Elephas maximus indicus: one gene and its partner. The protein of the gene in region 2 purifies or fractionates together with the protein of the main gene of each other region. This does not show direct contact. Links are inferred from orthologs where the notes say so. Each region holds a gene or a part of one and is shown on either strand. Other genes may lie near its edges.

Region 1 (15,038 bases), about 110 Mb from region 2:
TTTGTATGCTATCCAGAAAGTTGTTTTCAAACTTCTCAATTCACTATTCCATGGCCCACCTGAGAATGAATGGCTCTGCTACAAATACACCATGCTGTTACCTACATTGGGGGCCCTGGTGGTACAGTGATTAAGAGCTTGGCTCCAAACAAAAGGTTGGCAGTTTCAGTCCATCAGTAGCTCCTTGGAAACCCTATGGGGCAGTTCTACTCTGTCATATAGGGTCCCTACGAGTTGGAATCAAGAGCACAGCAACGTGTTTTTTTTTTTTTTTTTTTTTTTGGCTACCTAGATTTTTACCTCTGCACACAAAATACCCTCATCCTGAGGAAGTCCCATTCAGCCAACCAGATACTTCTCAATCACCATCCCTCTTTTCCATCCATCATGAAATTTTCCAAGGTTGGTCCAACTATCTACCTCCCCTACCCAGCCAGTGTCCATCGCTCTCACTTTGGCATTTCCACAGGATACAACATACAAAACCAATTTCTAAATAATTTCTTTAACTGTTTTCTCACTCTGCTTCCCCTGATCTTTCATGTTACTGTTCCGTTGTTAGGTGCCACTGAGTCAATTCTGACTCATAATAACTCTATAGGATGGGTCAGAACTGCCCCACAGGGTTTTCTAGGCTGTCATTTTTTTTTTTTTAATAATTTTTATTGTGCTTTCAGTGAAAGTTTACAAATCAAGTCAGTCTCTCACACAAAAACTTATATACACCTTGCTACACACTCCCAATTACTCTCCCCCTAATGAGACATCTAGGCTGTCATTTTTATAGGAGCAGATTGCCAGGTCTTTTCTTCTGCAGAGCAGCTAGTGGGTTCAAACCACCAACCTTTCAGTTAGCAGCCAAGCACTTAACCATTGCACTACCAGGGTTCATACTGCTACTCTACTTAAAGCCCTGTAGCAGTTGTGATGTGTGGAATCATGTTATTGTTTTATAGAGTCAAAAACTTAAATTACATTTAGGATGGAGATAGCTAAAATAGAATAAAAAGTAAAACAAATGAAACTATTTTTCCAATAGGTAACATAACCATAAAACCCGTTGCTGTCGAGTCGATTTTGACTCATAGCCATATGAAGGGGAAAATAACACAAATAACTTCTGAACACATATATATCCTCAGTTTAAAAGCAAAAACAAAAAACAAAATCCATTGCCATCGAGTCGATTCTGACTCATAATGACCCTATATAACAGAATAGAACCACACCATAGAGTTTCCAAGGAGTGCCTGGTGGATTCGACTACTGACCTTTTGGTTAGCAGCTGTAGCACTTAACCACTACACCACAGGGTTTCCAAGAAAGCAACCACAAATAAATCTTAACCTCGAAAAAACCCCTGTAATGGTTCCCCAAGCCACCAGTTGCTACCACTGGGTAGTTAAATCAACTCAGTGGGTCACAACCATCGTTCTTCCTTAAAAATAATATAGAAAATAGCAGAGTGCATCACACAAAGTAAAATTATTCTCTGAAATTTTGTCATTTATACACCAGTACACAAGACCATGATGTAAAAATGTTTATCTTACTAATGACTCGTGGCCAAAAAAGTTTAAAATACACTTGCCTACAGGAATGATTAAGTATTTGCTAACTGAGGCTGCAGTTCAAAGCCATCAGCTGCTCCTCGGGAGTAAAGACCTGGCAATCTGCTCCCATAAAGATGACAGCCTAGTACACCCTATGGAACAGTTCTACTCTGTTTTATCGGGTCACTATGAGTCTAAATTGACTCCAAAGCATACAACAACACAGGATAATACAAAGTCTTTTGTTTGGTCTACCAAAACCAAAACCAAACCCACTGTGGTCAAATCAATTGACTCATATGGGCCCCACAGGGCAGAGTAGAACTGCCTCCATAGGGTTTCCAGGGAACGGCTGGTGGATTTGAGCTGCCGACCTCTTGGTTAGCATGGTTAGCAGATGCAGCTCTCAACCACTGTACCACCAGGGTCTGGTCTACAAGGCTACCTAAACTTGGCCCCTGCCTAAGGCTCTGGCTCTATCTCTTGCTATCCCCCCAAGGACCCCAAGCAAGATAAGCCTGTCTTGCCAAATGTTTTTGCAGTTTCTTGTCTTAGTGCTTTCAGTCATACTATTTCCTTTGTCTTGAATGCCCTCTCATTTGTCCATGAGGCCCATCTTACTCATTTTTCAATATCTAACACTTGTCACCTCCACCACAAACCCTTTTCCATCCTTCCCTCAAGCTAATACACACAAACACACACACACACACAGTGCCTTAATGGTGCCTTACCTTATAGACCCTTTGACATTTCACTGTACCTTTTATTTTAAAGCTTGACTGTCTTCCCCACTCAGAACTATAAACTTCTTGAGAGAAAAGAGTACATTTTACTAGTCAGCAGCACTGAGCTCAGTACAGGCCACATAATAAAGGTTCAAAAGTTTGTAAAGTGAACAAATATAAAACTAATGAGTTCCATCTAATTTCTCTGCCCTTAGGGATGATACTATGGTTGCCTTTATAACAAAGCTCATTCATATTTGCAGTGCTGGACTAAGATTTCAGCATTGTTGCTACAATCCCCAGACAGCAGCACCTGGCAGCCTGAGGCACAAAGACGTGTCAGCTTCCTGTCCTTCAGCAAAGAAGGGACTCAGTTCAGTTGCAATGCTGCAGCACCCACTTCCATGCCTCCACAAGTTATCTGGGGAAGGGGAGAGGCAAGATTCCAGAGGCTCCCACAGGTAGGTGAGATAAATCAGAAACTGCACCAGCCAACTTCATTAGCAGGAAGGACCCTCATTTTATATATAAACCAAAAAAAAAAAAAAAACCCACTGCCATCCAATCGATTCCGACTCATAGCGACCCTACATATAAACCAAAAAAAACCAAACCCATTGCCATCCAATAGATTCCAACTCATAGCGACCCTATATAACTAGCTTTAATTGGGTAGGGGGAGCTTTAGTCCTTTGTTGTTGGCACTTAGTTGCCAATATGATCTAAGCAACAATTCAAAAACCAAACCCAGTGCCGTCGAGTCAATTCCAACTCATAGCGACCCTGTAGGACAGAGTAGAACTGCCCCCATAGTTTTCAAGGAGCGCCTGGAGGATCCGAACTGCTGACCCTTTGGTTAGCAGCCGTAGCACTTAACCACTATGCCACTAGGGTTTCCAAAAAAATAAATAAATAAACAAAATATTCCAAAGGTAGCATGAAATAACTGAAGTTACTTGATTTCTGTTGACTCGTCTGACAGCTCTGAAATAGGTAGTGACTCACTGCTCTTATTGTGAGATGCTACTTGGGGGGGGGGGTGGCAAACCAAAGGGAGGGGACCTTCTCACTGAGTTTTCCATAGACTTCATCTTACATACGTGAATGCCCTAATTTTTTATTGTCTGACACAACTTTACAAACGGATACTTCAGCTGTCTTCACTGCAATTAAAAACAGTTCATGCAGCATCCAAGATACTTTGACAGACTCTGCCAACTGTCAGTTTCAGCTGTTCTTTTCAGTTCCACCAGAGTTCATAAATTACTGTTCAGGAGCCACAGATTTTCTTCCCACCTAATCACTCATTTTCTTGAACGTAACCTCTTTTGCTTAGACTTTGCCCTTAAAATTACATTCATAATTAAGGCAAAGAAATAATTTTTACTATGAGCTAGCATCAGCCAAAAATGCATTCATTATATGTGACACTCTTCACTCACAATATTAAATTTCAGACACGTGTCAGAATAAAGTTTTAGGATTGCGTGGGTAAAAGTTTAAAGGTCATTTATAGCTCTGTTTCCTCTTGTTTTACATAGGTGCTGGCAGCTACGCTTACTCCACAAACATTTATTAGGTATAAACATCTATCAAGTTTGGAAACTTGCACAAATGCCTTCTCCTTGTGCTCTTCTAGTCCACTTCCACCTACACTTCCGCTCATTAATTCAAGACGGTACACGTCACTATCAATGAAAAGGGTCATAGCCCCTATAACGGACTTTCTGAAAAATAACGCCACAAACACTCGCTCCCTTTCCACCTCAGTCCACCTTTAAGACTTTATTAACAAAAGGCAAATAAACTAGTTTATCAGCAAATTTAATTATGCTGAAGTATCTAAATGTGTGTTACGTGTGTGCTGGGCACGGGGAGGCTTATTTTTATATTTTAAATCCTAGTCCCCTCAGTATTTAAGTTCATCTCAAGCCTTCTTGGTAAAATGATAGGCATTCATGAGGCTTAAAAAAAAAAATTTTTTTTTTTAAGGTTGTGGAAAACTGATTTTCTTCCAAGATGCTACCGCTCACAATCTAGAGAATGCAGTCTTCAACGTGAAAAACTGCCACTTGATTTTTTTGCTCCAACATATTTTAACCAGAAGAACTGCAGGTTCTCAAAAGAAGCCATATTTCAAAGGCTTTAAATAACAGTATTTTTCAGAATCCCTCCTTTAAAATTAGTGGAGTTAATCTAAAACATTTTTCAAATGCATTATTTTCCAGCTTGTTAAGGTGCTTAAAAACTCTTTACAGAAAATAACATCTCCACCTGAAAGATCTACTTTAAGAAGCCAACTAGTGATCATTAAAATGTAAGGAGAAAAAAGAAAACAATTCATTTTTATAGTTGGAAAAGTCTTTCAAACCCATCTCACATAAGTTCTTCACTTTGCAGATAAGAAGACAGTCCACAGAAGTTAAATATTTGCCTCAGAGCACTAGCCTACTAATAGCAATGCTAGAAACAGAATGAGATATTTTAATTGCTCCCAAATCATGGGAATTACATACATTCTCACCACTTGTAATTTTTTAAGAACAGTTATCACCGTTTTCCATTAATTCCTGAGGAAGAGCTCCTACAATACCCAAGCTATGAAAGTTGTTCAAATTAATTAACTTCACATTTTAACTCCAACAAAAAGGTAGTACTACCCAAAACTTCCTTTCAAAAGTCTCAAGAAGTGTGTGTACACTCCCCTAAACTATCACAAAGAAATGTGAGTCCATCCTTTCAAAATCTGCCCCTCAACCACACACACACACAGAGAGAGAGGGAGGGAGGGAGGGAGGCAGAGAAAATTCTGGAAGTTCCTCTCTGAGGGAAAGCATCAACAATCTGTCAATAAAACAAGTAGATCATTCCATTAATATGAGTTTCCAGCTTAAATTAGGAAGTCACTAGCATTTTATCAAGCTACTCGTGTGAACGAACTTAATAAAAGGTTGGAAAATGCACTCCTGATTGGATTTGGATCTGACAGAAAGGTAGATCTGACATTGTTAACACAAACGGAAAACCTGAGCTTAGAAGTAAAAAACAGAAGAAGTGAACAAGTTCCTTCGACAAAAGACTTTTTCTTATTCAAGTTCTTATTTCCTACTGACTGCACCGCACTCTGGAGACAGCTTCAGTAGACTTTCAAATTTTCATTTAAATCCCCCCAATAAATCAGTTCTAGCTTATATATATACATATATATTTTTAGCTTATATTCAAGGGCAAAACAGAGGGCACATTGAGGGCAATAATTTACACTGGATCATTTTCAAGGACTGTCGTCTAACTGCTATTTAGTTTACAATACAATCGTTCCCTTTGTGCAACTGATTATTCTCAAAGTACTGAGAGAATGCAGTACTTCTTTTTGAAAGACATCGACCAGCAACAAAACCTCAGACACGATTTTGATTACAAACTCATGCAGCAGTTTGTGGAGAATGCGTTGCCTTCTTAAATATTACTGATAAAACTATATTCCGGTTACTAACGTTATACGCGCCGTTCCTTAACTATGACCTCCCTGTGTCACTCTAAAAGAACGCACAAAATAAATTGTTAATAGGTTAACACACCTATATTTTGAAGGTGTAGCCAGCTTAGCAAGGTGGCAAATTTGTTCGAAAACACAAAACACAGACAATAACACACATACATAAACAGATTTGAAGTTGTGTTAAGCACAAAAATCCTTACCCCATTTTGCCCAGTGAAAACTTGCTCTGAAGTTTCTGCTCTTATACGGAATAACTTCCAAAGGAATTTCTCCGTTTGCTATTTCGCCGTTGCTTTTCCACCCCCCGAAGTCCTTTTCCGGAGGTATTTTAATGATGCTGACAATTTGTTTCCTTAAGTAAAATGCTTTCTCCCTCGTAAGTAAGAAATCGTTCAAATAAACTGAGGTGGCATTTGCTTATTAGAGTTAAAATGCTGCGCGGAGAAGACAACGGTCAACTCTATTCCACAAAATGAGTCTGTAGGAAAACGCGGGATCCAGCTTCACCGAGTCCTATAAAAACTGAGTTCGCTGGTCTTTTCGCTCATGTCCTCCTTGACACTCACGAAGAGCTAGGTAACTCGGCCTTTTCGGTGCTACGGGTTCAAATTTCTCCACACCAAGTCCCTGGGGGTGGAGCGTCAACCCACCGCGACGTGCACTTAAAAGATCCCTACCTGAAAATAAACATCCGAAAAGCAGTAATGCCAATGCTTCCCTACGCTCACATTAGAAAAAAATATATAGAAAAATCTCCTCGAAGTGCAAACCCGACAGCTCGCGACGTGCACGGCACTCCACATTGGAATCTGTCTTTTTAATTTTCCCCTCAAGACTCGGAGCAGAGAGGAGGTAGGGAGAAGGAAGAGAAGACTGGGCAGGATCGATTCACTCTCCCGAGGAGAATAAACGGAGCCATATCTCTACTGGCAGAAGGCTGGGGGCGCAGCGCACGCCGGGGAGCAGGGGGAGGGGACCCGATCCCACCTCCCTCAGCCCCTGCCCGCCCCCCGCCGCCGAGCACAATGGAGCCCGCCTCGCGCCCGGCCCTTCATTCGCCGCTGCCCTCTTCCCCCTCCCTTCAGAGCGCAGCGGGTCTCAGGCTCCCGTCGGCAAGGAATGAATGAATCAGAGAGCCAGGCTCCACGCTTCCAACGGCACCCTGCCCCCAGCTCCGGGGCGGGCCGAGCGGCGGCGGAGGAGGGGGCTGAAGGGTCGACGGGCGCTAATGCCGCGTCAGGGACCGGGGACCAGGGCTCCGAGCCGCGGGAGAGCCGCTGCTCCAGCGCCCTCACCCCTGCTCCTCGCCTCTCTGGCTGCGCACTGCCGCCACGCGCCGCCTCACATTCCCGGAGCCCTGCTGCCGCCTCCTCACACCTCCTTCACCACCCGCCTCCGCCGGCTTCCAGCTCCCGCTCGGCAGGACCCCGCCGGACCGAGCGGCCTGAAGCCCGCCGGTGCCTCCGCCTTCGCCCGCCGGCTTGCAGAGCGGAGGGCACCCCTTCCCCGGTCAGCACAGCCCGCAAGAGGCTAGCGCGGCGGCGGAGCGAGCTGCGGGGGGCGGAGGAGGGGGCGGGGAGAATGGGGGCGGGTGATAGTGGCCCCTCCCCCTGCTCGCAGGAGGGGCGGGAGGCGGCCGCCACCGCGGAGGCGCGGCCGGGAGCCGGGAGCTGGGGCGCAGATCTGTCCCTTGGGCCCCGAGGGGCCCTGCGGGGTGCGGGAGGGGGAGACAGCCGCGAGGGGGAGGAGAGGCTGGTGGTCAGGGGCCGAGCCAGCCCTCGTGGGGAGCTAGGCCAGCCAGTCAGCAGGTCCGTCAGTCCGTCCTTCCTTTCTTTCCCCCCTCCCCTAGCGGCCGGCGGCGGGCGGGCCGTGCGCTCTCCTCCTCCGCTGGCTCCTGGCCCCGCTCCCGGCCGCCACAGCCTCCGCCGCTCCCCACACCAGATGCTCGCGCTGTGTCTCCATCCTCCCCGCAGGAGGACCTTTAAATAGCAACGTCAGCGCGCTCCTCTCCGCACACACGTCACCCGCCGCTCACGTCACCAGAGTGCGGGGGATGATGTCACGCGGCCGGAAGCATTGCTAAATTAGGGAAGGAGCAGGGGAGGAGGACTCGGCGAGCTCTTCTGTGCCCACCTGTTCTAGCTTCTCCTTAAAGGCCAAAGTACAGGAGACAGCCCGAGAGGAGCTCCTAGAAGGAAGCGGCTGGAGGAGATTTCCTCGCAACAAATGTGCCAAATGAAGTGAATCATTCATAGCAACAGTTCCGAAGTGTCAGGGGGCGGGGGGTGATATCCTATCTCCCACTCCCACCCCTGTTGCAGCAGCATCCCCGAGCTTTTCACGTCCCAACTAGCTGGGAAATGTGGGAGGGAGAACCTGAACACTAGTGGTAGATATACTTCCAAGACTTGGGAAAATTCACCGTAATTTTCGAAAGACTTATTAAATACCAATCTATAAATTGTAGACGTTAAAACTTCTCTTTTCCCCTCTTTAGTGATTAAGTACAGAAGAATAAAGAGCCGGGCCATGAACAAAGGTTATACAGCAATGCTATAAATGATAGTAAAGGGGAAAGGACATAAAATGATATGTTTTCATTTGCAAAAAAACAATGTTTTGGCATAGGATAATGTTTCAATCTTAGAAAGTTCATTCAGATAATTATCATAGCAACCGAATCACCCGTTGCTATCAAGTCGATTCTTACTCAAAGCAATCCTGTAGGACACAGTAGAACTGCCCTATAGGGTTTCCAAGGAATAGCTGGTGGATTAGAACTGCGGACCTTTTGGTTAGCAGCCCAACGTTCAACCATTGGGCCACCAGGGCTCTTATAGCAAACGCCAGTATATTCTCACTTCCGGTGTACCAACAACGTGAGTTCCAGTTTGTGGAAATTAAAATAAGACCACTAAATCCTTTTTTGTTAACACGAGCACATTTTGATTATTTTTGTCTTCCTTAGTTTTTACCATATAATACATAGTTAAAATATTTCCTAAGTATGTTTTTCACTTCTATTCATGGCAAGGGTGAATACCCGCGTATAGGCTTATTAGCTATGTTTCTGTCTATATTACAAATGCTTTTAAAACTATAAATTACTATAAAGCTTTTACAACTTCTACCTATTAAGACTCAAATATATAACGAATTTTTGTTTAATTTGATTTAACTTGATAGTCATGGGCCGGAAAAAGAATTGCTACCTACTGTCAAAGGATATTACTATTTCAGAGTTAGTCTCTAAATTGAGTGACCATGTATTTCAAACCAAAATCAGGACACATCATATGACAATAAATGAAATACTTGAAATCCGAAGTGACCTGGAAAATCCAGGACATAGGATTACCAACCTATACAGTGATTGTTAACCCGTTGCCTTCGGGGTTTGGTTTGGTTTATGCAGATGATTAAATTCTGACTTTAATATATTTGCGAGATTTCCATATCTCACCACTTTGGTGTGATTCTTATGTCATTTTCTACTGATTTGACTCATAGGGACCCTATAGGACAGAGTAGAACTGCCCCATATAGTATCCAAGGAGCAGCTGGTGGATTCCAACTTCCAACCTTTTGGTTAGCAGCGGACCTTTTAACCCCTGTGCCACCAGGGCTCAAGTGATTGTTAAAAGAGAGTTATAAATCAATGTAGCTTAAACAAGAGAACCTAAAACTCTATAGAATTTATACCCTGTGGGGGGGGGGGACATGTTTTTAATGTTAAGCTACTCACACAATTCCTAATTAAGTAACATTGGTTTTGCAGCTTTCTGCATGTAAATATTCTTAATCAAATTAGGAACCCAAGATTAAAGAACACTGGCAAAAAAAAAAAAAAGATTAATACCAATTTGTAACTAAATCAGGCTTTCTGATCATCTTCACATTATGAAATCATGATCCCTCCCTGATTTCAGAATTTGCTTCAAGTTTGAAATGTTAAAAGTAGTGAATAGAAACATTTTTAAAAGGTTATAAAAAAAAAAGTTAATCAGAAGCAAATCCGTACTTGCCAATTCGTCTAATACATATGAACGTGTTAATAGAAACTTGTACTAACATATTTCAGACAAATGGATCTTCCTACTTACATATAAAATATTAAAAAAATAAGACCATCATTCTTCAAATAATGTCATCTCTTGGCCTCTGCAAATTAAAATAGAAATTAATTTTTTACTCTACTAAATTTTCTCTACAAACTATTTTTTCTCAGAACTGAATCACTTATCCCTCTTTCCTGCTCTTTCCCTTCATGTTAAAGTTCTCACGTTACCATTTTTCAAACACTTCATTCTACCCTTTGATCGCAACTTCCTGTGTTTTACAAACTTTTTCCTCTTAATTTTTACCCAGCTGTCAAAACAGCATGTCAGCTGCCCCCTTGCCTTTAGAATGCTGACCTTTCAATAGAATTTCCACTTTTCAAAGCTGCATGGTCCCTTCTCAGCTGCTCTTTTGTTGACTGAAAACTGAGAGTACCTTTTTTTAAAACATAAATCTAATGGTGCACTGTGATATAATTATTTAACTTTGGCCTCTGCTCTTATTGAGAAAATTCTCCAGATAATCAATCAGTTTTTGTTTCTTGTTTATGTGGGATGAGTATATAAGGGAGTATATATGTCCATGTATCCAAGATAACAAGTAAAAACTTTGAAATATTTTATGTAATATGGAAGCTCAGGAAAAAAATAAGGGAAGTGAGGTCCTATTTTCCCCTCTTGAAATAAATCCAATATAATTTTGAGAGGAGTCAGAGAACCATTCTATAACTTTCCATCTAAAAGTATTATCTTTTCTCCTAAAATGAGCTGACATAACCCAAATCCCAGACATGAATTTCCAACTCTGATTTCTTTGTATGTTTATTAAAGTAGTGAGCTTCCTAGAAAGTAATGTATTTTCTTTTACCGGAAGAGCAAAAAGTGCTTTAGCAGAGTTTCAAATTTTTAACACTTCCTGTTTCCCACTTACATTCCGAAAATTTGTAGAGAGGTTTATGAATACCCTCTGATTTTAGAATCTGTGGGCGAAGGCATCTGTTTTAGTTACAGAGTTTACTTCCATGCCCTTAATAGGAGATGGCAGTCTTCAATGGGTGTTCATAGCTTGGTCATGAGATATGTCTTTTTCAATGAAAAGACATCTAGAACATAGAAAAACTTGGCAGAAAAGAGGGTAAAAGTCGAATTTTATTTTTAATTGCTTAACATTAAATTAGATAATAGCAACTTCCTTTCAAGTTGTCTCTTTTTAATAGCCAAAACACCAGTATTGCTTCAAACAAAGTAATAAGTAAAAGGATACCGCTCCATACAATAGAAACCTCAAGATTTCTAGTTAATGCCACGTAGTTCTGAAGGAACAAAATAACCAGCAAATACTAAACGTGATGAGAAAAGAATGAAAGAGCTGTAGGGAATCAGAATTTATCAAGTTAACTCTCTCAAATCATTCCACCTCTTCCACACTGTAGCAGATATTGGGTGCCATTAAGTTATGTTTGGCCTATTTATAAAAAACATCTTTTGTTATTATCAGTAATGTTCTGAACAGAAACAGGTTAGTTAATAGTCTAAAGAGTGGAAAGGTAAGTGTCTTAATTGTCTAGTGCTGCTATAATGGAAATAAGACAAGTGGATGGCTTTAACACACAGAAGTATATTCTCTCACAGTCTAGGAGGCTAGAAGTCTGAATTCAGGGCACTAACTCCAGGGGAAGGCTTTCTCTTTCTGTCAGTTTTGGGAGAAGGTCTTTGTCATCAATCGTTCCCTGATCTAGCAGCTTCTCAGCACAGGGGCTCCAGGTCCAAAGGACACGCTGTGCTCCCAGCACGTCATTCTTGGTGGCATGAGGTCCCTCTCCTCTCTGCTTGCTTCTCTCTTTTATATCTCAAAATGTATTGGCTCAAGATATAACCTGATCCTGTAGATTGAGGAGTCTTGCCCCAATAACATAACTGCTTTTAATCCTGCCTCATTAATATCATAGCGATTGGGATTTACAGCACATATGATAATCACATCAGATCACAAAATGGTTGACAACCGCACAATACTGTGACTCATGGCCTAGCCAAATTTATACGTATTTTTGGGGGGATACAAGTCAATCCATAACAGTAAGTGTTTGGCATCTCCAAGGCAATTGCTTGAGGACAAGTTTTATCTCTCTGAGTAAGTGAATTTTATCTAATATAGGTATATATGCATTATTTTGTCACAGGAATTTGGGCATGATAGGGTGGTACCAACAGTTAATATGCTGCACTGCTAACACAAAGTTTAGGGGTTCAAGCCCACCCACAGATACCTTGGAAGGAAGGTTTGGTGATCTACTTCCAGAAAATCAGCCATCGAAAACCCTGTGGAGCTCAGTTCTACTCTGACGCATCACATTGTGTTACAGACTCTACAGTAACTTTTTAGGAAGGAGAGAGAAGTTAGAGAATTATCGTCAGGAAATATATGATATTGAGCCCATGGGAAATGATCTCACAGAACTATCTCCTACTCTGATTTTTACTGTAAATTCATTCTTTGTTTTCCAAATACTAGCAAAAAGATAAAAATATAATACAAGCCAGTGAAAGAACATACCAGAGAGTTTTTCATTAGGCACTGTGAGGAACTCATTGTATAATTACGTATGTAAATTTTAAGACATTCAGAAGAGACAGGGATATTGATGTCTTTGAAAAAATTATCTCGTTTAACTCCAGGTTTTTCGATTGTGTTTTTGATTGGTTGGTTGGTTGTTTCAAACAGCAGTTACAGAAAACATGGTGTAAAAATATGCAGCTCTGCAGACAGCTACAGTAAAGACTGTAGTAAAGCTTGAGCTGTACCTGTGCAGTTACTTAGAATGGAATGCTGTAGAAGCTGATTGCTATGGTAACCAATAATCTTTTTCCTGAAAGGGGGAACAGAGCAACCATGAGGAAAATATTTTAAATGAGCTGTTACCTTATTTTGTGATTCTTTTGGTGCCAGCTAGGAGAAAAACAACACCCAAGGTATTTAGGACAGCCGCTCTTATGAAGGGAAGTTGCCTGTTTTTTCAAAGAAATAAGAGTAAAGCAGAAATTTGGCACTATTTTAAAAAGAGGTGGGGGTTTAAGATGGCAATTGCAAACTCTCTGAAGCTGAACATAACTGATAAAGACTCTGACATGGCTAAAGCAGCAAGAAATGATAAATACCTAGATCATGTGTTAAAGGTTCCCCCAAGCGTAAGAGCTCAGAGATTTGATGCTCAACATTTGCAGTTTTTTTAGCCAAGATACTTCATAAGTTACTGATTAGGCTTTTTGGTTTCTTTTAATCTAATTCTAAACAATAATTTCTCTACAAATTAGAACAGAAATGGCAAATATATCTTTAATCAATATCTATTTTGCTATTTTAATAATGAATTCTTTTTTCCTAAAATGTGTGTACGTATGTGTTTGTGTGAGTGTTGTGTCATCTGCTAAAATCTCTCACACTTAGAATAAAATCCAAACTCTATTTCTTAGTCCAAGAGGCACTCCTCGATCTGGCTCCTACCCCCCCTCTTATCTCAGCTACCATTTCCCCCATCAGCTGCTACTCTATGTGTTCCTGTGTTATCAACTCTCTATATTTAACAAGAAGTCTGAAGGTAGGTGGTCCTGTGGTTGGTTTAGAAGGTTCAGGGTGTCATCAGGGTCCAGGATCTTTCCATCTTTTTTATTTTGCCGTCTTCATGTGTTGTCTCTTACACTTGGCTTCTTGTCTCATTGTTGTTAGAAGACTATTGCATTTCCAGGTATCATCTCCTCACAAATAGCATACTAAACAGGAAGGGGGGAAGGAGATTACAGAATTTTCTTCTTCATGCCTCTCTCTCACCCATTGTGGTCGAGTCAATTCTGACTCAAAAGGACCCTACAGGACAGAGTAGAACTGCCCCACTGTTTCCATGGCTGTAAATCTTTACAGAAGCAGACTGCCACATCTTTCTCCCTTGGAGTGGGTGATGGGTTCAAACTGCCAATCTTTCAGTTAGCAGCTGAGCACTTAACCACTGTGCCACCAGGGCTTCTTTGCCTCTCTCTTACCAGGGAGAAAAGCTTCCAAGAGGCCCCTAGAAGCCCCACCCCCCATGACTCATTGGCTAGACTGGGTCACATGCCCATCCTAAATCAATTACTGACAGTTTGGAACAGGATGTTCATGATTGGCAAATGATGGTTCATCCCTTGTGTCTGCACATTGTGACCGAACAAATTTAGAACTCTCTCAGCAAGAAGGAGCAATGGCTGTTGGGTATACTGCACAAAGCCACTCTGATATTGCTGCTGCTCTTCAAATATGCCAAGCTTGTTCTAAATGCAGGGCCTTTGCCTTCTTCATTCCTTTTACCTGAAACACATATTACCAAGATTTTTGCATAGCTCACTCTTCATTCAGTTCTATGCTCCAATTATATCACTTTAGAGAGGTCTCCTGGACATTCTTTATGAACTATCTCCACACTCATAGTCACTCACCCTCCACTTAATCTGCTTTATTTTCTTCATAGTATAGTCAACACTATCTAAAACAACATTATATGTTTGTTGGATCACTTGTAGAATATAAGCTCCATGAAGAGAAACTTTGTCTTGTTCACTGTTCCATCTACAAATGTTAGATGTTATTTCTTACATAGTGGTTGCTCAAAATGTTTATTGAATAAATTAACTGCTAGGACTTTCAGTTATCCTTGGGTAGAAGTTACTTGATTAGTTAAGATTCTTAACAAGTTATTGAGAACAAACAACAGAATCTGCTCTAGCTGGTTTAGAACAAATGGATTTAGTAGAGGGGGATGCTGGGAAATGGTTAACACACTCGGCTGCTAAATTAAAGGTTGAAGGTTTGAGCCTACCCTGAGCTGCCTCAGAAGAAAGGCCTAGCAATGTATTTCTGAAAAATCAGCCCTTGAAAACCCTATGGAGCATAGTTCTACTCTGGCACACACAGGGTCGCCATGAGTTGGAATTGACTCAAGAGCGACTGCGCTTCTAAAGTCTATGGTCTTGAAAGGAGATTCTTCCCTAGTCAAGCCTTGAGATGAGAATGTGGCATAGATGATAGCTTGACTGCAGCCTTGTGAGTCCCTGAGCAAAGGACTCAGCTAAGCTATGCACAGACACTGTGAGATAGTAAGTGTGTGTTGTTTTAAACTGCTAAGTTTGTGGTAATTTGTTTCACATCAATAGGTAGCTAGTACAG
Region 2 (15,993 bases):
GGCAGGGGGCTAAGTGGGCAGCCAAGAGGCAGCAGGGCTTTTTCCAGCTCCAAGCGGCTGGAGCTCATTTGAAGTCAGCAGGGAGAGAGGCGGTAGAGGGCGAGGGACTGTGACGCTGGAGTACAGAGGAAAGAACTGGTGCTTCTGGCCCTGACCTCTCAGTGCTCAGCCCCACGTGGCCTTGTTACACACACCAGGTGACCGCAGTCCTGTGAGCCCCTCCGCACAGCCCTGCTACAGAGAAAGAACCGAAGTCACAGGTATAGGGCCTGGCCCCAGGTCACATAGGGATAGATGGGGCTGAGATTCAAACCTGAGCCTGTCTGAATCCAAAGCCAACCCTGAGAGTGGAGGAGGAGCTGCGGTCCCAGGGTCACTAAGCAGCTTGCTGCCTGAAAGCCTGAGGAGAAGGCGGGAGGTCTGCTGCTAGGGAGATGAGCAGGGGGTCGCTGCAGAGCCGTCCACAAGGACCCCTGGGTCAGACTGGATCTTCTGCTTAGGGCTTTGGGTGAATTGGAAACTCAGCTCAGGTTTCACCCGTGTCCCTTGCTGATTCCTACTACTTGGGGCCCCACTACTGGGGACCAGCTAGATTAAGAAGGATGCTTTCAGCTCCATTTCAAACTAGTTTAAGCAAATTAAGGGATAATTTGTCTTATTTAACTGCAAAGGTTAATGGCTTTGGCATGGCTGGGTCCAAGTACCCATGGATGTTATCAGGGGTCAATCTGTCTCTCAACACCCCTAACCTCTTGGCTCTGCTTTCCTCAGTGCTGACTTCACTCTCAGGCAGCTCCCTCCATCTTTGGCAAAGACACTCCCCGACAGCACAGACTCTCTATCCTGGCAGCTCAGCAGCCCCAGTGGACAAAGAGCACCTCTTTCTTGATGGTTCCAGCAAAAGATCCAGGGCTGGCACTCATTGGACTGTCGTGGGTCACGTGTCCATCCCTGAAGCCACCCCAGGGACTCTGACCGACCAGGCCTGGAGCTCTAGTGGGAGATCAGCCAGAAGACAGGGTGTGGATGATGGCAGCTGACTAGGGCTATCACTGCACTGGCCACATTCTGCCCTCCTTGCCCAGGAGCCCCTCCCAACTCATCCCTCAGACCCCACAATTCTAGCCTCCACAACTGCGTCTGGCACTGACCCCAGGCCAGCCCAGCCCCTGGATGTGGAAATGGTGTGCTAGAAAGGGAAGCAGGGAGATGACTGTGGTGGTTTGCTGTGATGCTGGAAGCTATGCCATTAGTATTTCGAATGCCAGCATGGTGGACATGTACTGTTCAGTGAATTACTTAATATGGTCCTTCTAGCCATAATCTTTGTGATTCCCATCAAAGACTGTGTGAGACTGTGCAAATGTTGTGCTTGTGGCCCACCAAGGGGATTGGACAGCTTGCTAATAATGTCCCATGGCACCCTTGTGGAGGTGGGACCATGCAAATAAGGTATATGGAAGCCTAATGAGAGGACTGGTCAGTTGTGCTATCCCCTAGGCTTAGAAAGAGACATGGCGGGCGGGGGGCGGATAGAGGGCTGACTGCAACACAGGAGACAGAGAGAGGCAGCAGAGGCAGCAGAACCAGGAGACCAGCAGGAGAGAGTGTGGTGGCTCCCCGGCCCATGAAGCTGAGCGCCTTCAGGTAGGAGGCTTATTGGTGGAGTAGGATGCCTCCAGGCACTTGGTGGAGCTAAGTTTGCCAGCCCATGGAGCTAGAGCTGAGCGCCTTCAGGCCAAGGCTTACTGGCAGAGTGGGATGCCTCTGGGCACTTATCGGCAGAGGCCAGACCAAAGGGCAGAGGGCCAGAGAGAAACCTGCCTGTGGCACAGCTGAGAAGAGGCTGTCCTGATGAAAGAACTGTATCCTGAGCATTCCTCAATCTGAATGGTAACTGTTACTTTGCTAATAAACCCTATAATCATGAATACTGTCAGTGAGTACTGTGTGGTCATTGCAATGAATTATTGAACCCAGCAGAGAAGTAGAGACTACCATGAGAGGGACATTTGGTGTCAGAATTGGTAAGGATGGCAGAGAGATGAGGCATATCTGACCTCCAACTCATAGCAATCAGCCTTGGGCTGTTGATCTTGATTCTCCTTCCCCCTTGTGAAATTAGAGGAAGTCAGATACCGCCACCACACCATTTTTACAACAGGTTTCAACAGAGCTTCCAGAGTAAGACAGACTAGGAAGACCCAGAAATCTACGTCCGAAAATTAGCCAATGAAAGCTCTATAGATCACAAAAGAATATTGTTCAATATAACACTGGAAGATGCGCCCCTAGGTTGGAAGGCACTTGAAGTACACAGTGGCCACAACAATTGACTTAAGCATACCAGTAATGGTGAAGATGGCGCAGGACCGGGCAACGTTTCATTCTGTTGTGTGTGGTGTTGCCATGAGTCAGAGGTGACTTGATGGCAACTAACAACACCCACAACAGATATTTGTAAAAAATATCTTTAAGCTGACCCTATGAAGTAAGTACCACCACTTTCATCCCATTTTATAGTTGATGAAGATAGGGCAAGAGAGGTCAAGCAACTAGCCTAAAGCCATACCGCTAGTGAGGTCACACTGCTAAGAGGCTTGTCAGGAGCCAAGCTAATGTGGTCAAAGTGGCTGGCCAGGTGCCAGCCGTCCAATGCATGCTGAAAAGCATAAGAACAAGGGCACACTTTTGAGGATGTTGTTTCAGGAAGCAGGTTGAGGGCGGACTGAAAAACCTTCCCTGTGAGCTGTGAGGGGGAGCTTGCATACGGAAGGCAGCGGTGGGAGGGAGGAGGGTGGATAGAGATGAGTGGAAGAAGGGGAAGCTCCCATTTTCTAAGCCTCCACCCAGTCACATTTTATCCTCACATGTTATCAATAAAGAAACTAAGGGAGGGGAAGTGGTTTTGCCAAGGTCACACAGCAAGCAACCATCTTCTATATCCAGATCTCTACATAAAGAAGGCTACCCTCTTTCCTGGCTTTTCTCTCTTCCTCCTTCAGCACGCTGGGAACCCAGAAGACACTGGATCAGCTTCTGAGTGTGGGGGGGAGCTCATGGTCTGGCAGCGGAAGGTCAATCAGTACCAGGAGAATGGTGGCTGTGAAGGCTGGATGGGAGGACTTTCAAGTGGCACCCACCACCAACACACCGAGCTTGAGTGTGTGGATTTGGAGATCACCAGTAGCTGGTTGGAAGGCACTCAAAACACCACTGGGGAAGAGCTGCCTCCTCAAAGGAGAGTCGACCTTAATGATGTAAATGGAGTCAAGCTTTCAGGACCTTCATTTTGCTGATGTGGCACAACTCAAAATGAGAAGAAACAGCAGCAAACATCCATTACTAATCAGAACCTGGAATGTACGAGGTATGAATCTAGGAAAAGTGAAAATCGTCAGAACTGAAACGGAACTCATAAACATCGATATCCTAAGGCATTAGTGAGCTCACATGGACTGCTATTGGCCATTTTTGAATTGGACAATCATACAGTCTACTACGCCAGGGATGATACCTTGAAGAGGAATGGTGTTGCATTCATCATCAAAAAGAACATTTCAAGATCTATCCTGAAGTACAACGCTGTCAGTGATAGGATAATATCCATATGCCTACAAGGAAGATGAGTTAATACTATTATTCAAATTTATGCACCAACCACTAAGGCCAAAAGATGAAGAAATAGAAGATTTTTATCAGCTGCCGCAGTCTGAAATTGATCAAACATGCAATCAGGATGCATTGATAATTACTGGTGATTGCAATGCAAAATTTGGAAACAAAGAAGGATCGGTAGTTGGAAAACAGGGCCTTGGTGATAGAAACAATGCCGGAGATTGAATGATAGAATTTAGCAAGACCAACGACTTCCTCATTGCAAATACCTTCTTTCACCAACATAAACAGCAACTCTACACATGGACCTCACCAGATGCAACACACAGGAATCAAATCGACTACATCTGTGGAAAGAGACGATGGAAAAGCTCAATATCATCAGTCAGAACAAGGCCAGGGGCTGACTGTGGAACAGACCATCAAATGTTCATTTGCAAGTTCAAGCTGAAACTGAAGAAAATCAGAGCAAGTCCATGAGAGTCAAAATATGACCTTGAGTATATCCCACCTGAATTTAGAGACCATCTCAAGAATAGACTTGACGCATTGAACACTAGTGACCAAAGACCAGATGAGCTGTGGAACGACATCAAGGACGTCATACATGAAGAAAGCAAGAGGTTATTGAAAAGACAGGAAAGAAAGACAAGACCAAAATGGATGTCAGAGGAGACTCTGAAACTTGCTCTTGAACATCGAGCAGCTAAAGCAAAAGGAAGAAATGACAAAGTAAAAGAACTGAACAGAAGATTTTAAAGGGTGGATCAAGAAGACAAAGTAAAGTAGTATAATGACATGTGCAAAGAACTGGAGATAGAAAACCAAAAGAGAAAAACACACTTGGTGTTTCTCAAGCTGAGAGAACTGAAGAAAAAATTCAAGCCTCGAGTTGCAGTGGTGAAGAATTCTATGGGGACAATATTAAATGACATAGGAAGCATCAAACGAAGATAGAAGGAATACACAGAGTCATTATACCAAAAAGAACTGGTCAATGTTCAATCATTTCAAGAGGTAGCATATGATTAGGAACCGATGGTACTGAAGGAAGAAGTCCAGGCTGAAGGCATTGGCGAAAAATAAGGCTCCAGGAATTGATGGAATATCAAGTGAGATGTTTCAACAAACGGATGCAGCAAAATGCCAAGAAATTTGGAAGACAGCTTCCTGGCCAACTGACTGGAAGAGATTCGTATTTATGCCTATTCCCAAGACAGGTTATCTAACCGAATGTGGAAATTATAGAACAATATCATTAATATCACACACAAACAAAATTTTGCTGAAGGTCATCAAAAACAGCTGCAGCAATATAGCGACAGGGAACTGCCAGAAATTCAGGCCGGTTTCAGAAGAGGACATGGAACCAGGGATATCATTGCTGATGTCAGATGGATCCTGGCTGAAAGCAGAGAATACCAGAAGGATGTTTACCTGCGTTTTATTGACTATCCAAAAGCATTCAACTGTGTGGATCATAAGAAGTTATGGATAACACTGTGAAGAATGGGAATTCCAGAACACTTAATTGTGCTCATGAGGAACCTGTACATAGATCAAGAGGCGGTTGTTCGGACAGAACGATGGGATACTGTTTGGTTTAAAGTCAGAAAGGTGTGAGTCAGTGTTGTATCCTTTCACCATACCTATTCAATCTGTATACTGAGCAAATAATCCAAGAAGCTGGACTATATGAAGAACAGGGCATCAGGATTGGAGGAAGACTCATTAACAACCTGCATTATGCAGATGACACAACCTTGCTTGCTGAAAGTGAAAAGGACTTGAGGCACTTACTGATGAAGATCAAAGACCACAGCCTTCAGTATTGATTGCACCTCAACAAAAAGAAAACAAAAATCCTCACAACTGGACCAATGAGCAACATCATGATAAAAGCAGAAAAGGTTGAAGTTGTCAAAAATTTTATTTTACTTGTATCCACGATCAACAGCCATGGAAGCAGCAGTCAAGAAATCAAAAGACCCATTGCATTGGGCAAATCTGCTGCAAAGAACCCCTTTAAAGTGTTGAAAAGCAAAGATGTTACCTTGAAGACTAAGGTGCACCTGACCCAAGCCATGGTATTTTCAATCGCATCATACGCATGTGAAAGCTCGACAATAAATAAGGAAGATCAAAGAAGAATTGACGCCTTTGAATTGTGGTGTTGGTGAAGAATATTGAATATACCATGGACTGCCAAAAGAACAAACAAATTTGTCTTGGAGGAAGTACAATCAGAATGCTCCTTAGAAGCAAGGATGGTGAGAGTACACCTTACATACTTTGGACATGTTGTCAGAAGGGATCAGTCCCTAGAGAAAGACATCATGCCTGGCAAAGTAGAAGATCAGTGGAAAAGAGGAAGACCCTCAACGAGGAGGACTGACTCAGTGGCTGCAACAATGAGCTCAACCATAACAGCCATTGTAAGGATGGCGCAGGACAGGGCAGCGTTTCATTCTGTTGTGCATAGGATCGCTATGAGTCGGAACTGACTCGATGGCACCTTACAACAACAACAACAGTAGCAGTTTCGCAGAAGAGGGAGAGCCAGTAGTGGTAACCCTGCTCCCGTCATTCAAAGAAACTGAGGGCTATGACAGGTCCACTGAATTTGGCAACTTTTGGGTCACTACTGACCCTAGCCAGTCCCTGGGTACTGCAAACGGTTAACATGCTTAGCTACTAACAGAAGGTTGGCAGTTCAAATCCACCCAGAGACCCAGAGGTGTGTCAGAAGAAGGGCCAGCCGATCTACTTCAGAAAGATCACAGCCATTGAAAACCCTATGAACCTCAGTTTTACTCTGATGCTCATGGGTTGTCATGAGTCAGAATCAACTTAATGGCAACTGATTCTTTAGTGACCTTGGCCAGAGCAGTGCCAGGGAAAACAGTACAGTTGACAAATGATAGGAGGAAGGTCATGTGCAAGGGACAAGGGCGGAAAGACCAGGAGTGGGCTCTCAGGCATGGGAGCAGGGAACTCTCTTGCTCTCCTGAAAATGGACAAGTTGATAATAGGGAAAACTGGGTGGCAACTCTCTGCACTCTCTTTGCAATTTTTCTGCAAATTTAAAACTGTTCTAAAATAAAAAGTTTATTTCAAAAAATAGATGGCAAGAGGTGAGAGTGGGTGTGGTTGAGGAGAATTTGCAGGTGGCTGGAATTTGAGGAAAGAAGTGTGCAAGTCGGCTGGCTTCTGTTTTTTTGGATGTGAAGTAGAATGAGCAGGAGGCTGGGGAGGGGCCCCAGGAGAGGGAAGTGGGAGGTGTTCTGAGCTAGGACAACTCCAAGGAAGCAGAAAGGGGCTGAGGCCAGAGGTGTCCTCTGCCTAGCCTTCCCAGATGCCCCCCTCAGCAGTGCTGTGGGGTCTTCTCCTCCCACCCCAGAATCATCCTCTTCCTGTCTAATGATGGGAGAAAGCTGAATGAAGCACATGCTTCTCCTGGCTCCTTTCTCCTTCCCTCCCCCACCCTGCATCATCCACTCCGCTGTCTCGGTGCTTCCCATTGCACCTGGTTTCCTACTGGCCAGTGGGTCTAGGGCACAGGGCCTGGGTCTGACCCTGCCTGGGCCTCATCCCCAGTGGGGGCCATGGAGAAACTGCCAGGGAGAGGGCCCCACGGACACAGTGGGCGCCAAGTGTTCTCTATACCAAAACCAAAACCCATTGCCATCCAGTCAATTCCAACTCATAGCAACTCTAACGGACAGAGTAGAACTGCCCTACAGGGCTTCCAGTGGCTGGTGGACTCAAACTGCCGACCTCTGGTTAGCAGCTGAGCTCTTAACCACCGTGCTACCAGGGTTCCGTTCTCTACACAAGGGTCTGTAAAATGTTTTGAGTTTTAAGAGTTCCTCCTACTCCCAAGCAGTAGGAACCACTGCTGGAGAAAAACACACACACTGTTCTCCCTCTCGGTGCTGGTGACATGGCCGATTACCTAACTCTGAGGCCCAGCTGGTGCCACCTCCTCCTCCACCTCCCAGATTGGACCAGTCCCATGTCTTTGCTCTCCTCTTAGCTCTGGGGCAAGTAAGGTTTGCTTGGGTCTGTCACTGTCCCCTAGAAAGATGGGGTTGGGAGGTTTTGCAGGTGGTGGGAAAGGATTCTGACAGCTGTGAAGAGTTCTAAGGGTCTCCTAGCAAGGACAGAGATGTACCAAGAGGCCCTGGCAGTGGTGGCCACGCCCCTGCAGGGGACCTCTCTGGGGCCTCAGCCTCTTCCATGCTCAGAGCTTTGGGAAATTAAGGTGCCAGGAGGCTGGCCCTGGTGTGTCCTTGGAGGAGCCCTGCCCTGGGAGTCTGAGTTAGATGCTGCTTCTTGAACTCAATTTGGGATTCCTTTGGGAGGCCTGAGGCTTGGGAGATAAAGCAAAGGATTTCCTAGGCTGGTGCCATCTGAAGAGGCACAGGAGGCAGCCAGTAAGGAAGAGAGAGCTCAGGACAGGGGTGGATGTGAATGGAGGAAGAGGCTGGGGATGGTGGGGGTAATGAGCTGAGGTTGGGGCTGGGAATGGCCTGAGAGAACATGGTCCCACAGGCATGGAGGGGTGTGGGTGGGAACTGGGTTCAGGATGGGACTAGGGTAGGTTGGAGAGAGAAGGGTGCAGCTGGATATGGGGTGTGGTGAATGGAGAGGTGGGGGTATGCCAAGCAAGGGATTGAAAATGGGCTGGAGCTAAGACAGAAATGGGATTGGAATGCAGGTAGCAGTGGACAGTGATGGGGATGGATTAGGCATGGACTTTTCAGAGGTGGTGATGGGCTGGAGACCAGCAGGAGTGGAGCAGGTATATGAACTAGGTTGGAGTTGAGATTTGAGACGGAAATTGTTTAAAATGGGCTGGGATGGACCAGGGATGGGGTGAGGTTGGGATAACCTATGAAGCACAGGAATAGGGTGGGGCTGGGACCGGACTGGAATGAAGTGGATTTGGGAGTGGGACTAGAAATTGGAGTTGGGGCTGGATGGGGGTTGGAGAGTGGAATCTTGATTAGATGCTGGGGCTGCGGGACTGGGTTTGGGGAGCAGGGTAAGCACCCAGGTTGGGGATAGGGTAGAGGAGGGTTCTGAACGAGGAAGGGCGCAACTGGGAACCCGAGGGGCAAGTTAGACTACTGGGGCTGCGCGCGCCGCCGCCCGCCTGGTTGAAGCGACCCGGCACCGCCCGCGGTGAGGGGCGTGGGGGCGCCCGGGGCAGGCCGGGAAGGGGGGGCGGGCCTCCCCCTGGGCGGGCCGGGGCGGCGCTAGGACCGAGTGAGCGGAGGGAGCCTAGCCGGGCGGAGCCAGCGCCCCCCGCCCCCCGCCGGCCGGTTCCCCTCCCCCGGCCACTGGTTCGCTCGGCTTGCAACGCTGCAGAGGCTCCTAGGCGGCAGCGGCGGCGGCTACTCCCTCTTTCCCTCCCTCCCTCTCTGTCCGTCCATCCGTCTGTGCGTCTGTCCGTTCGGCCTAGGTCCGGCCCGCAGCATGGCCGGCGTCAGCTTCAGCGGCCACCGCCTAGAGCTGCTGGCCGCGTACGAGGAGGTGATTCGGGAGGAAAGCGCGGCCGACTGGTGAGCCCCCCGCCCCCGCCCCCCGGCCCCTTTGTCCCCGCGCCGCCGCCGCCGCCGCGCCTTTGTTCCCAGCCGGCCCGCCGCCGACAGCCGGGAAGGGAGGGGGAGACCCCGAAATGGTGCATCGGACCGGGAGGGCCAGGGAGGGGCTGCCTTTGTGCGCGCCGGGGGGAGGGGCCGGGCGGGCCGGGCGGGCCAGGCGGGGCACTGCTGGGCCCCGAGCGCCCCGAGTGGCCCCAGGCAGGCGGTGGGAGCGGTGACCGGACACGGGCCGGATGCACGCAGGGTCCAGATGTGTGGCCCGGGGCCGCATGGCCCTACGGGAGCCCATCCCCAGTCCCTACCCTCCCCCCGGACCCGGGGGACAGGTGTGCGCGGGGCGGCCAAGGGCACCTTCTCCACCTTGGAGCTGGCGGGGACGGGGCGGGGACCAAGGTAGCGGAGTCAGCGCAGCCTGCCCGGCCCAGCTTGCCCGGCCGCAGCACAAAGGAAAGCTCGGGCGGGGGAGGAGCGGAGCGGGCCGGGGGCTGGGGCGCCCCGCCCACCGGGGGCCGCTTGTCGTTGCCCGCCCCCGCCCTCCCCTCCACTCTGGGCTGGGAGGTGATGGAAGGGCGTTCTTTGCCACATGGCAAGCTCGAAGTGACTCCTTTTCCCCTCCCGGGTCACGGAGGAGGCAAGAGTGAGCCGTCGTCTCCCCCGACCTGGACGGGATTGCAGGGACAAGGCAGCTGAGCTGGGGGACGCCAAGGGGACAGGAACTGCCTGTCTATGGGGCCAGCTGGGGTACCTGGGAGAAAGCCTTCAGGCGCAAATGTACGGAGGTGGGCCCCTTTCACTTGGTCCCGTTAGTTAGACCATTTGCCCACGGCAGCTAGGGGCACTCCTCTCCCAGTGGGGGAGGGTCTGGGCTGCTGCTCTCCCCCTCCCCCAGCTGTTATCGTGCCCCTGAGCCGGGGGAGGGGATGGACCACCAGCTCTGGGGCTGGAGTCCCCAGAGTGGCCAAAAAGCCAAGGGATTCCACACTTCCCCATCCAGGAAACAGCCCCCCAGAATACTCTTCCTGGGGCAGGTGCCCATTCTGTTCCCTGCCTCTCTTCATGCTGTCAGGCAGAAGACAGCTTCCTCTCCCCAAGGAAACTGAGGAACAGAGTGAGCACAGGCCTGAGTGGCCCCACTTGGGCTGGCCTCACCCTCAAGATGAGAGGGCAGCCAGATAGGGCCACTGACCTGGGGGGCTGGAGGAGGGGACGAAATGGCCAGGCGTCGATGCCACAGCATTGCAGCACTGGCGGGCGGCCAGGCCTGGAGGAATGGACGAGGGAGACAAGCTCTGTGTCCTGCAGGTCAGCCACAGGAGAGGCTAAGCAGACAGGAGGCCCACCCATTGTCCCAGCCTGCCCCTGGGGGCTGAGGTCATGGGAGGAGTTCAGGGCAAGGGGCCTGCTTGGCCTGGTGGAAGAGCTGGCCCTAAGTTGTGGGCCCTGCCTGTTAATCCCTGCCTGGGAAGTGACACAGCCCACTTCAGAGCACCCCTCATGCCATCCAGTCTGGGGAACCTTGTCTACCACCACCCACCCCATTTTCCCCTAACCCCCAGAAGCAGAGCTCCAACAGCCCTGCGCGGGGACCACACAACCACTGCTGCCCCACATCCTGCTCAGCAGAGGCCTGCCTGGCTCCCACCACCCAGCAACACCCATATGGCCACAGTGATTTATTCATCATTGGCGTGCATCACCCCCCATCTGGGCTGTGTGTGGGACACACACACACAGATGCACACACCCTTCCTCACATATACACACGTGTGTTCAGTCCCAAGGGCCTAGCTAACATTTTGAAAAAAAGTGTGAGGGCTGTATCCTGGGGAGAGGGGGAGCAGGGCAGGAGTGTGTCCCTCTCCCACTTCGTGCTCAACCACAAGCCAAGGGTCAGTGGTCTCAAGACTCAGGGCAGACCTGATCTCAGAGGCCAGGAAAGAGATGTCTTCAGTAAAACTGTTGCCTGCCGAAGGGGATTGACACTGCCCTCCCTCACCTGGCTTCATGGGGCAAGGCTTCTGAAATGGACCACTGAGCCCTGACGTAGGAACAGGGGCCAGGGAGATCAGATCATGTGGGAAAGGCCAGTGTTGTCATGACTGTATACAAGTCCCTGCCCCCTCTGATTCTCTGTGCACCTGTGAAATCGAAGGAAGGGATTGGGCTCAACCATATCTGGGAAACCTAAGGCCTTTCTAGCTCAGACATTCTGCGTGTGTGACTAGACTCAGCCCTCCAGTCCCAGCTGACCTCAGGATTGCCCTGGACCTGCTCACTCCAGCTCACTCCTCACCCTAGTCCAGGTTCTCTGGCCTAGGTGGTTTCTAAGAGTTTGTGTCAATATCACAGATACCTACCGGTGCTGCTCTGTGCTGGGCCCTGGGACCCAGAGCTGTATGTGTTGATTCATAGAGTTACAGGTTCTGCCCCCATGAAGATTACCATCTGGGCAGTGTCTCCAGGGTCCAGAGCTGGTGAAACGTGTAGATTCTGATTCCCTGTGGGGTTCACCAGCTCCCACCCCCCAGGATGGATGTGTCTTATGCAATTGTGGGGTCTGGGATGGGTTCAGATGCCTCTAAATCCCTGGTGGGGTCTGGGAAGTACTCTGGAGAGGCTGACAGAGCAAGGCTTCCTGGGGAGCTGCCATGGCCCCCCCCCGAAGGGTTTCCACAGTGGCGGTGGGGGTTCAGAACCAGGTCTGGCCTTCCATGTGAAGGGCACTCCAAATGCAAAGACTGGGGGTGGGAGATATGAGGGTGCCACCCAATGTGACCCAAGTGTGTAGTATGTACAGGAGGCCAGGGAAGGGGTTGAATTTAGGTGTGGATTCAGACAGGGGAGGGATGTGGCTGTAGCAGAAAAGGTGTGTGAATGGGCGAGGGGGGCTTGGAAGGGGTTGAGGATTTAGGGGCCTGGGGCAGGGCACGCCTTCCTGGGAGGAGCAGGGGCCATCAGCCTTGGAGAGGTCCGGATACCACCTCCCAAGGAAGTATGATGCTTAGAGCAGCGTTTGGGAGCCAGGATCCTCCGGTTCTGCCTCAGTTTCTCATCTGTGGGTTGGAAAGGGGCAGACTCTGCTTTCTGAGGGCCCTTTGTTCCCAGTGGTGGGTCAGGGCAGAGGACAGGTGGTGGGACAGCTGTGCGGGAAAGCAGCTGCCAGGACTCGGTGAGGGCAACAGTTGGACAAGGAACTCAGCCCCACAGCCCACCTGTGTCCCTCTTGGGAGGGAGGGACCTGGGAAGGGGAGGGGTTGGGGGGCCATTTGGCCCTGGCAGCAACCTGTGCTGATCTCATGGGACAGATTCTCCCTCCTTCCTCCCTTTCCTCTTCACTTCCTTGTCATACTTCTTCCCTTTCACTTGTTTTATTCTCTCTTCTTCCTTTCTGCCTGTGTCTCCCTCCCCTCTCCCCTCCCCTCCTCTTGTCCATCTCCCTGGAGCTCCTGCCTCACCCCCACCCCCATCTCCTGCTGCAGCATTGGGGAAATGGTAGCGTGGGGAAGGGTCCAGCCCTTCTGAACTGCAGAAACAAAGCCATTCCTTCTTCTCGCCCCAGGCCTCTCCTCCCACTGTGAGCAGATGGGAGGCACCTCTGCATTCCCTTCAGTGAAATGGATGCTGTGCCCCAGCCACCTGGGGAGAACAAGCCAGGGCAGAAAAAGCTTGGGAGGAGGAGGGTGGGGCATGAATGCTGGCTCAGCTTTGTGGCTAAGCTAGGGCGGAAAGGCTGGCAGTCCCAGGAGGCCAGGGCCTTGGCTAGGGTGGAGGCAGCCTCAGGGTTGGAAGGCTGGGAGAGCGCAGCCATCCCAGGGCCAGAGTCTGGGCAAGAGTGACAGAGGTGACCTCATCCCCATTTCTGAGAGGAGGAGTTGGAGGCTGAGGGCTGGTCCCTGGGGTCCTTTGTGTTCAAGGAGAATGCACTCGGGTGGGCCGCTAGTGTGCCAATTGCCGAGTTGCCATGGTTACTGGGGGATGCCCAGAGCTGTTAGAGCACCAGGTTCTGTCCTCCCCCTCCTTCCTTGCAGGGGGGGCGGGTACCAAGGCACGTGCCAGGTAGGCTCCTAGTGTTGGCCAATGGGGGCTGAGGAGCTCGGTAGTCAGGGAACAGTAACCAAGGTAACCAAGGAACAGTAGCCTTGGAAGCTCCATTGCACACCACTCTGCTCTGTGGAAGGCAGCTGGAGCCAGGGCCCGGACGCACTGGATTGGAGGCGCTGACCTCAAGCAGGCGGTGGCAGCGATTTCTGCCCCATCCCCTACTCCCCACCTGACCTAGGCCCTAAGCCTCCCTCCACTGGGCTCACAGTCCACCCCCTGCTGGGCTCCGTCAGAACCGTCAGAACCGTCAGAACCCGGTGCCCAGCCCTATTGTCATGATGATGCTGCCCCAGCTGGTCTGGAACCAGCTCCTGGCCTGGCCCCTCCACTTTCCTCCGCTTACCCCTCCCCAGAGCCATCTCCACCCAAAATTGGCAACTGGGGCTCTGAAAGTTCTTCCAGCCGCCCCTCCCTCTCCCCAGGGCTCTGTACACATATGAGGATGGCTCCGATGACCTCAAGCTTGCAGCGTCAGGAGGTAAGAATTCCAGCCATTCCTTTGCCTTTCTTTCCGCCCCCTCCTCCACTTATTTTCTTCCCCACCCGCCTGGCTCTGGGCCGCCCTCCTGCCTGCATCTGACAGCCCCACACTTATCTGGCAGTGTCCTTCTTCCAGTCATCCCTGTTATCCCCATTGGGTGGGGAGGGAGGGAGCCTTGTTTTCCCTATTGAGTGACTGAGGAGGAGACCAGAGCACTTTCAGAGAGAAAAAGAGACTTGCCCAAAGCCACACAGTTAGAAGGAAAGGGCCTAGGAGGCATGGGCAGCCCCACTCACCATTTCACACCAAGGCTTCTTTCACACTGTTGGGGTTGGGCACCAGCACCTCAGATACATGATGTGTGAGGAGGGAATGATGCGAGAAAAGGGCTAGAGCAAGCAAACACTTCTTAGTCCTACGCCAGATCAGCTCCAGAAGGTTCAAAGACAAAGCTAGACCCTGCCTGCCATCCCCTCACTCCTACAAAACTATGGGGCTTCCACGGCTTAGAAGCCAGAAAGCCCCTGGGGGGGAGGCCGCTGAGCCTGGGAGAATTCTCTCCTGTGGGGTTCAGGCCCTTCACGGAGGAGGGGGTATGGGTTTAGGAAACAGGAGTCCTGACACCCTCCTGACTCCCCCAGAAGGGGGCTTGCAGGAGCTCTCGGGGCACTTCGAGAACCAGAAGGTGATGTATGGCTTCTGCAGCGTCAAGGACTCCCAGGCTGCTCTGCCAAAATACGTGCTCATCAACTGGGTATGCAGCTGTAGGCTGGGGAGGGGCACCCACTGACTCTGGGAGAGACTCCCTCCGGCCCTGGGGAGGATGGCCTGGGGGCTTCACCTGCTGCCCCGTCTCCCGACCCCTCTTCACTGGGTATCTTGCAGGTCGGCGAAGACGTGCCTGATGCCCGAAAGTGCGCTTGTGCCAGCCATGTGGCTAAAGTGGCTGAGTTCTTCCAGGTGTGCGTGGAGCCAGGCCCCATGGGGACAGGGACAGCCACCCAGGGCGGGGTCGGTATGCTGGGGTGGTAACGGGGGCCACAGTGCTGCCTGAACGCTGCCTTCTTGCCAAAGGGCGTCGACGTAATCGTGAATGCCAGCAGTGTGGAAGACATAGATGCAGGCGCCATCGGGCAGCGGCTCTCCAACGGTCTGGCGCGGCTCTCCAGCCCAGTGCTACACCGTCTGCGGCTGCGGGAAGATGAGAACACTGAGCCTGTGGTCAGTGTGGGCCTGCTCTGGCTGGCCCTGCCCTGGGCCCCTGTGTCTGGCCCTCCCTTGTTCCCCATAGTGCCCTTATTTATGGGGGTTCCCAAAGCACCAGCCTGCTCTCTGTGCTTATGCCCTGTAACTTGACTCTACAGGGCACCACCTATCAGAAGACAGACGCAGCTGTGGAAATGAAGCGAATTAACCGTGAGCAGTTCTGGGAGCAGGCCAAGGTGTGGACCCCAACCCTGGCCTTCAGGCTGAGCTGCCCTTCCCTGACCCCCTGGAACCTGTCACCCAGCTCCTCGTTTTAGCAGTGTGCTCCAGACCACATACTCCTCTGTCTCAAAGAGAGAAAGCCTTTTGGCTTTGTTGCATAGGACCCATCCCCAGAATTCTCAGAACTGGTACCTCCCTAGTCATGGGTTTGGGATGGGATGCAGGGCCGGGCTCCCCAGCTCAGGCCTGCACTTCCTTGGTGTGGGGGTTGCAGAAGGAGGAGGAGCTGAGGAAGGAGGAGGAGAGGAAGAAGGCCCTGGATGAGAGGCTCAGGTTTGAGCAGGAGCGGATGGAGCAGGAACGGCAGGAGCAGGAGGAGCGGGAGCGACGCTACCGGGAGCGGGAGCAGCAGATTGAAGAACACAGGTGCAGCCCCGCCTGCCCCGGCAGTCTGACCTGGGTGCCCCGGCAATCTGACCTGGGTGCCCCGCGTGCCTGCCCTGAGGGCACCTGTTGGCTTCTTGTTCCAGGAGGAAACAGCAGACTCTAGAAGCAGAAGAGGCCAAGAGGCGGTTGAAGGAGCAGTCGATCTTTGTAAGTTCTGAGCCAAGGCTCCCAGCTCCTAGTCAGGCAGAGATGAGGCTCCCTGTGCCTGGGCCTCATGGGGGAGATCAGGGCTTGGGAACAGTGCTGGGTGCCCTGGAGACCTCTGCACAGGCCTGGGGGGCGCCTTGGAGGGTCAGGCCAGGTGCCTGA

The links.
Region 1: the proteins of DBN1 (region 2) and HOMER1 purify together in Homo sapiens (co-immunoprecipitation; 3 studies listed by BioGRID and IntAct, counting the BioPlex papers as one, with this or other methods). This does not show direct contact. The link is inferred for Elephas maximus indicus from reciprocal best matches to the Homo sapiens genes DBN1 and HOMER1.

Annotation. Positions count from the first base shown.
Region 1 is NC_064820.1:84,487,663-84,502,700, forward strand, and holds the start of HOMER1 (homer protein homolog 1), read right to left. Parts: upstream 7,740-15,038; 5' UTR 5,989-7,739; coding exon 5,984-5,988; intron 1-5,983. UniProt on the Homo sapiens protein: Postsynaptic density scaffolding protein. Binds and cross-links cytoplasmic regions of GRM1, GRM5, ITPR1, DNM3, RYR1, RYR2, SHANK1 and SHANK3.
Region 2 is NC_064820.1:197,836,555-197,852,547, reverse strand, and holds the start of DBN1 (drebrin), read left to right. Parts: upstream 1-8,882; 5' UTR 8,883-9,099; coding exon 9,100-9,185; intron 9,186-13,750; coding exon 13,751-13,806; intron 13,807-14,450; coding exon 14,451-14,563; intron 14,564-14,694; coding exon 14,695-14,769; intron 14,770-14,883; coding exon 14,884-15,030; intron 15,031-15,173; coding exon 15,174-15,251; intron 15,252-15,511; coding exon 15,512-15,663; intron 15,664-15,767; coding exon 15,768-15,831; intron 15,832-15,993. UniProt on the Homo sapiens protein: Actin cytoskeleton-organizing protein that plays a role in the formation of cell projections. Required for actin polymerization at immunological synapses (IS) and for the recruitment of the chemokine receptor CXCR4 to IS.